Linked DNA regions of Ovis aries. The protein of the gene in region 1 interacts with the protein of each later gene in a biochemical or structural test. Links are inferred from orthologs where the notes say so. Each region holds a gene or a part of one and is shown on either strand. Other genes may lie near its edges.

Region 1 (3,512 bases):
AAATAGTTACATTTCAATCAAGAGTGTAACTAAAAGTTGTGTCTAAAGATTTTCAATGCCAAGGACTAACCTGGTTCCTTAAAAGTGTTATGATAGATTTCTCGTGAATACATTTATGATTTTCTTCTGAATGGATTCAATGCCAGTGTTAAACATTAAATGTTGCCTTTGGGTTGGCAAAAATATCTAGTATATTTAGTCTGTGTAAGTGCTACTAATATGAACGTTATTATAAAAATTAAGGGCTGAAAGTCAAAACTAGATTACTGATAAGAAATATCACCATAATTATTTGCAAATGCGGTTTTGTTTATAAAACATTATTCATTATATATATTTGTTCTTATAAAATATTTGAATTTTCCTTAAACTTCAAAAAGTTATGTTAGGCTGATCATTTAATATATCAGTTTTATAGAAAATACTATCATTTGAACGAATTTGTATGGATATATTTTTTAAAGCATATTTTAAAAAAATAATTGGTCTTTGAATTTCCTGAAGGAGCATTATCATAGGTTAAAGACAAATAAATAACATTTTTATATTTTGTCTCACTACTCTGACTGTAGTCATTATGAGTTGAGATTATTTTTGTGATATTTTAAAATCTCATCTCTCAACCCTACTCATTGCACTGGTTGCTTTATAAAAAGTTAATGAATAAATGTGTGCAGGCGCATGTTCAAATCATGGTGAAAGTTTATGTAATGGAGATTTATAATTTGTAATTGAGAAAACTACCCAAATGTCTTCAAACTGATTCATTCTACCGTGTATGGATAGACTAGTTAATATTAATGTATATAGGGGTTCTATTTCCAGAATAGATACCAGTTGTGTTTTCAGAAATATTAGTTACCAACGTATCTCTTTGCCATTTTGAGTATGTGTCTATTGTCACTACTTTTGGAATTAATACGAAATAATATAAAGATGAAGTTCAGTTGTCTGCTACTGGAAAAAGAAAATTATTATTTCCTTTTATTTTTCTTCCTTTTTTCTATTTTTTTTTTCTAAAGAGGAAACACTAGAAGTAACAGAATCAGGTAAATATTTGCTTACCCAGAGGAGGCAACATAGATCTATAGGAATACTATTTAAATTTGAATCTCTATATAGCTGTGTAACATTTGGGAAAATCCATTAACAGCTCAGATTCCCAGTTTACTCATCTATAGAATAGACATAATGACTTTCCAAAAGGCTTGTAATAAGTATGAAATGAAATAACATATATAACACTCCCACTACATGCTTGGTTGTTACTCATTAAATATTGGTGTCCTTCTTACTCTTGTCTGATAAATATAGTTAAAGAAAAGCATCAGTCAGTCAAAACTCTGGTTTAAAAAGGATGTGTCTACATTTTTCTCAGAGATATATTGTGACTCTTACATTGTTTTTACTCAACAGTTAATTTATTGAGTATTCATAGCACTAATCAAATTTTCATTTCCGAAAGGTAACAACAGAAAATGTGAATTTTTTTTCTGTTGCTAATTTAAACTTATTAATAAATGCATGGCTTACTCTAGCTTTACTCTAAAGCATGTACAAAAAAAAAAAAAAAACCACAGGAAACAAAAGGAGGGGGTTGTGCTTTATAAAACCAAATAACCAAGGATAACAGAAATGTACATGTTCTTACACAAAGTAGGGAGACTTTATCTTCACATCTTTAAAAGTAGGACTTTGACCCTCTTTCACTTACGGGATTAAGTTTCATCTACAAATATTTACTCCAAAACTGAGTAAGAAAATTATGTTTTTAAGCCAATGGTTTATTGTTATTTTTCCCCCCCTAGCAAAAAAGAAAATTGAAAAACCTGAAAAGGAAAGTAAAGGTAAATACATTTTAAGGCATGTATATCAAATTAGTGATAAAAGCACAAGAATCAAAAATATATAATTATATAAATTACATCACTTAAAAAAGCAATTCATGAAAATATGGACATTGGTTTTAAAGCGTATATCAGAATCGAAGCTATTTAGAGTGTTATTCATGTGAGGAGTGTAGTATTGCATTATTACTAGATATCTAAAGGGAACAGGAACTGAGATCTTAAAGCAAACTCCATTATTGCTATATTAACACCATAGAGTTCTTTTCATATAACTCCTGAATTGTAAATATTGACTGCAAAATATGTAATTTCAAACTTAGAAAGACCTATGAATAAATATGTATATGACTCTACCATTTTATCTCTATAGAAAAAGCAGAAATGAGACATCTTAAAGAAGAAAAAGGTAATTTTTAAAAGTTCAAAAGTTCCTGAAGTCAGAATATTTTGAATAAATATGTATATGACTCTACCATTTTATCTCTATAGAAAAAGCAGAAATGAGACATCTTAAAGAAGAAAAAGGTAATTTTTAAAAGCTTAAAAGTTCCTGAAGTCAAAATATTTTGAATAAATATGTATATGACTCTGTCATTTTATCTCTATAGAAAAAGCAGAAATGAGACATCTTAAAGAAGAAAAAGGTAATTTTTAAAAGCTTAAAAGTTCCTGAAGTCAAAATATTTTGAATAAATATGTATATGACTCTGTCATTTTATTTCTATAGAAAAAACAGAAATGAGACATCTTAAAGAAGAAAAAGGTAATTTTTAAAAGTTTAAAAGTTCCTGGAGTCAAAATATTTTGAGTCAAAATTTATTTATTTCAATTTTAAAGAAAACTTTTCTTTACGTACACTATGATTGCTGGCCTGGTTAAAAGAAGAAAAGTGGTAAATAATGAGAGCATGTGATTATGACGGTGTCAAAGGAGCAATGGACGGCAGGCCACACCTACAGTGTGCAGTCATGTGTTGGGTCTTTGGTGAGAAACTGGTTAGAAGCTGCATTGCGATGTTGCTTTTTTATCTTAACTTTAGCTTTATTTATTTAGGAAACTACATAATATAATACAATAACCACTGATTTCCATGTTTAGTCATCTAAAAACCTTACAAAGGCCTTAATCATCAGAGAAATATTCTGTCGAGTCAGGAGGAAAGCATTCTTAGACATCCCGAAAAGATTGTTAATAACAAAAGAAGACACTTTTCTGGTTTATACCTAAATTCAATTAATCAACATTACCCATTGGCCGTGGACTCAGATTCATTTAAATACCCTGTAATCACTGAGTTCATGTCATATCTCTTTATGCAGATACAACAATCTCTTCAGCTAACATTTATTTTTCTTAGGCATTAGCAGAAGAGAAAACTTTTAAAACACCTTGAGAAAATATTTACAACATTTAAATTATTCTCATGTTGCTAAAGCTTAGAGTTGAAGTGAGCCAAATTGTTTTATGAAGATTTGCTCTAAAAGTTCATATTTTAATTTACATTTTTTTTATACAGTGCCAACAAGAAAAGAAAGTCTTCAATTACACAATGTGACAAAAGGTAATCTTGACCTTTGTAAATCCTCAAATGCTGTGTTGATGTGTGTGGAGATGCCTGAATGATGTTGGTGCTTAATATTAACACTAGATTTTCTAAAGCAA
Region 2 (4,178 bases), on another chromosome or scaffold:
TATTATTTTTCCAGATTTATAGATGAGAAAATGGGGTGCAGAGAAGGTAAGTAACCTGCCCTATGTCGTGTATCCAGTAGAGGGGAAGCCAGGATATAAATCCAGATCTCCAGACTCCAAGTTCTGTGATCTCTTTCCCTAAGGATTTAGGAGCCTGTGGGGCATCAAACCACCTCCTATGCTGAGCTTACACCTTGTCAGTCTCTGATGGGCATTCCTGGATCAAAGGTGGCTGGAAGGATGGTGAGTCCAGGGCAAAGTCCCTTCTCAGGATTTTGCTTGGGAACACAGAATTTGTCTTTGAGGGAGAATGTGTGTGTGTGTGACAGGGAATCAGAAATTGGGGTCATGGCTTGCACCAGCCCTCTTTTTGAGTTCTAGGCTAAGTTGACACTGGTGAGCATATATGGTAGAGTCCTTGTGCCTTCAGCTCACTTTTCAGAAAATTGTCACTATAATTGAGTAGGGCAGTTGGAGATGGAGATGGTAATGTGAGTGCGGATTTCTTGGGCTGAGCAGCAGCTGTGCTGTATGTCCTGGTTTTTTTCCAGCCTGCGATTTTCCTGTATATATAGTACAAAGACCTAATAACGGTCTCTGCTTTTTCCTTGCTTATAACTCACAGAGGGAACTGAACTTCCATGTTCAGGCCCCAGAGTAGAGCCTGAGGAAAAAGATAATGGGCATGGTGATATTTTTAAAATGCTTAGTTTTTCATCTACCAGAGCTCTCTGTAATGACCATGCTCCCATATATAAATCCTCTGAAAATAAATACAGGTATGATGATCGAGAGACACAGGACTCTGCAATGCTTTTAAAATTATCAAAGATATTTTGATGTGTTTGGGATGGTTTTCCTGGATTTTATTATGTGCTCAGTCATGTCCTACTCTTTGTGACCCCATGGACTGTAGCCCACCAGGTTCCTCTGTCCACGGGATTTCCCAGGCAAGAATACTGGAGTAGGTTGCTATTTCCTTCTCCAGGGGATCTTCCTGACCCAGGGATCAAACCCGAGTCTCCTGCATTGGCAGGCAGATTCTTTACCACTGTGCTGCCTGGGAAGCCTAGATTTTCTTATACTCAAAATTTTTTTTTTTTTTTTAGAACTAAAATCCACATGGGTTTTCTATGATAATTCTGTTCATCAAAATATTTGATTATAATGTATGTCCGTTATGTCTCAATAAAACTGAAAGAAAAAGAAAGAACAAAAAGGTATCTGATTGAACTGAGCTTTCTGGTAAGGCTGGTCTCCAGTAGTCCTTTTTGCAAATAGGTGCGTGGGCTGAGCCAAGCCTGGGGACTGATGAGGGATCTCAGTGCTTACTAGAATTCTTGGCACTCCCAGGTGCTCCTGAGTGTAACTGATCTGACACTGTCCAGGAGGAGCTACGGGAGGAGTTCCTGGGTCACTCACACAGGATTAAAGAGCCAGCCCCCGCGCCAGCTTCACAGAGAGGCCAGTAATGCAGACAGAATAGGAGCTGACTTCAGCATCTTCCCTGACCTCACACCAAGAACTTTCTGAGAAAAAGAAATACTCCCGCTACTGAACACGCAGCCAAGACCTTCCCACAACTCCAGTGGCTGATGTTGACTGATACCGAGTCCCAAGAGAGGAGCACTACTTAGCGGTGCTCCCCATCTGACCCACAAGCAGAAGCAAGGTCAAATGACTTCTGCTGCCCCAAGATCGTGGGCAGGCTTACAAGAACAAACAGTAGGAAATTAGTACACCGAATGAAGCCTGCACATAACCCTGAATCCCATGTCATTCGGGCCTTTAAACAATAGCTTTAATGTTCTCTGAGGAAAAGAGTGGCTGGAACCATTGCCCTTGAGAAATCAAGAGGGCCGTCAGCTGATAGACTTTACAACTTTACCGACTATGATGCAGTGGGCAGACTTCGCTGGTGGCTCAGTGTAAATAATCCTCCTGCCAATACGGAAGACGTGGGTTCGATCCCTGGATCAGGAGGATCCCCTGGAGAAGGGAATGGCAACCCACTCCAGTAATCTTGCCTGGGGAATCCCATGGACAGAGGAGGCTGGCAGGCTACAGTCCATGGGGTCGCAAAGGAGTCGGATACGACTTAGCAACTAAACAACAACGACAAGCAGTGCAGTGTGCAGCATGTCCTGCACTTGTCCTGTCTGAAGAGTCTGAACACACCTCTGTTTTTCACACATCCCAGCTTTGCAAGATTTCCAGTGTTGTATGAGACTGAAATGGGGCCAGACTTTAGGATATATTATCAGCACCCTGGGGTCCCCACATCCCGATCACGGGCCAGTTCCCGCCTCCTTGGTCGCCGTGGTCCCGGGCCCCCCCCCACCCCCACTCACCTCCAGCACGATTTCTTTCAGCTGGAACTGTTTCTGCACGACTTTGTCTGAAGACAGGGGCTCATGGTAGTAGAGGCAGAGCAAGTCGTATTTCTTCAAAACCTGCTTGAAGTTCTTCTCAGTTAGACTGACCACGCGGTCCTTGCCATCATAGGTGGGGAAGTTCAGTCCCTCCTCTGCCCTGCAGGAGGACAGCAGGTAGACCCCCACCACAAACAGGTGGGCTCTCTTCATCTGGGCAAAATTTTTCTTTCCCAGAAACGCTGATGGTAGGAAAGTGAATGGAGTCTTAGAGGACTTGCTGGGAGTCATGGGGAGCAGAGAGGCTGATCTGGTCTCTCTCCCTGGCCCTCCCTGGGCCCGAGAACCCCGTCTTCACCTCTGCAGGCTGCTGACTGTAGCCCTGGGCTCAGACAAAGCGAGCAGAGGCTCACACCCATGCGTGCGTGGAACTGGAGCCAGGCTGGGCCACCCAGCCCCAGATAGCTTGCATAGCTCTACCCAGCCCGTGTCTCATCTGGAACTCCATTTTTAGGATGCAGTTGTTTCAGGCTAAAAATAAATCATGAGATGAATAAAAAAGTTAGATATGGCCCTGTTGAGGGATTCGCTGATACAGTTTGTCAGGCTGGTGGAGAGGGAGGAGGCAGGAGGGAGACGGCGGAACATGCGCACATGAAATAAGGAGGCCAGGAAGGTCAGAGGAGAGAAATTCACCTGGAGGGAGGAGGGCAAAAGGAGGGGAGGGAGACATGGGATGGTGACGTGCGCACGTGCAGGGGTCCCTCAGATGCTATTGAATCCGTCCATTATCCCAGGGAATGGTGTCAGCCTGTCCCTTCCTGGCAGGCTGCTCATCCGCACCCCACACACACACCTACTCACCACTGACCTGGAGACCAGCCCAACCCCCAGGGGGACTTGACGTTCTGCGCCTGCCTTCCCCTGGCTGGCCGCTGCGCCGTGTCCCCCATGGCTCTGCCTGTCACTGAGCAAGGGGTCTAGGGTCACCCTTTCTCCGTGGAAAGAGCTCCAGAGACCCCAGCCCGCCAGGGTCACAGTTGTTCTCCTTCTGCCCCTGCTCATGGCTTAACGTTGCTGACACCAGGAGGTCCTGCCCCATTATAAAATTAAATATAGTAAAAGTTCAACTATCTTCCTCAGAAACCTTCTTAGGCTTTTCACTATCATCCCTGTCATCTTCTTTTCTAACATTAACCCCCAATGTATCATTTTTGCCCCTTTCCTCTCCATTGGGACAGACTGCTGTAGAGAGTCCAGAAGCCAGATAGGTCGGAGTTCAAATCCAGGCTCTGCTTTTCAATGGCTGAATGGACTTTGGAGGGTCACTTACCCTCTCTCTGATTCGCCATCCATCACCTCCACCCCTGCTCCTTGTAAAGTGGGGATAATTATAACTAGATTGTAAGGCTTGGAACACAGAGATGGAAAAACATGGTGCGAAGCAGTTACTCAAACACAGCAGCTGTTATATTATTCCATTCTTCTTGGAGATGGTGGAACATAGGTTATTATCAGAATTACTTGTCAGTTTCTAAAAGTAATTGTTTGTGAACCCTTTTCTGTCTGCCTTCTTCTTGAATCCATCAGGCATTTGGGGCAGATGTGATTAAAAGGTCATTGCACAGAGGAGCTAACTGAGCTTCAGGGAGCTCAGCACCTAGTCAGAGATCATGTTACCGACTACCTGTTGGTAGAGGGTAGGCAGAGAGTTCAGTGCTACCCTGGAGCCCAGTACTCCTGGGTGCTTTCACTCTGATGGGGTAATTCCCCCACAGACACCTCTTTTCTTAAAAGACTCCATCT

The links.
Region 2: the proteins of TRDN (region 1) and CASQ2 form a complex in vitro, tested with the Homo sapiens proteins (3 studies listed by BioGRID). The link is inferred for Ovis aries from reciprocal best matches to the Homo sapiens genes TRDN and CASQ2.

What each region holds. Positions count from the first base shown.
Region 1 is NC_056061.1:15,321,730-15,325,241, forward strand, and holds part of TRDN (triadin), read left to right. Parts: intron 1-1,022; coding exon 1,023-1,049; intron 1,050-1,808; coding exon 1,809-1,847; intron 1,848-2,220; coding exon 2,221-2,256; intron 2,257-2,339; coding exon 2,340-2,375; intron 2,376-2,458; coding exon 2,459-2,494; intron 2,495-2,577; coding exon 2,578-2,613; intron 2,614-3,366; coding exon 3,367-3,411; intron 3,412-3,512. UniProt on the Homo sapiens protein: Contributes to the regulation of lumenal Ca2+ release via the sarcoplasmic reticulum calcium release channels RYR1 and RYR2, a key step in triggering skeletal and heart muscle contraction.
Region 2 is NC_056054.1:93,106,246-93,110,423, forward strand, and holds the start of CASQ2 (calsequestrin-2), read right to left. Parts: upstream 2,806-4,178; 5' UTR 2,664-2,805; coding exon 2,352-2,663; intron 1-2,351. UniProt on the Homo sapiens protein: Calsequestrin is a high-capacity, moderate affinity, calcium-binding protein and thus acts as an internal calcium store in muscle. Calcium ions are bound by clusters of acidic residues at the protein surface, especially at the interface between subunits.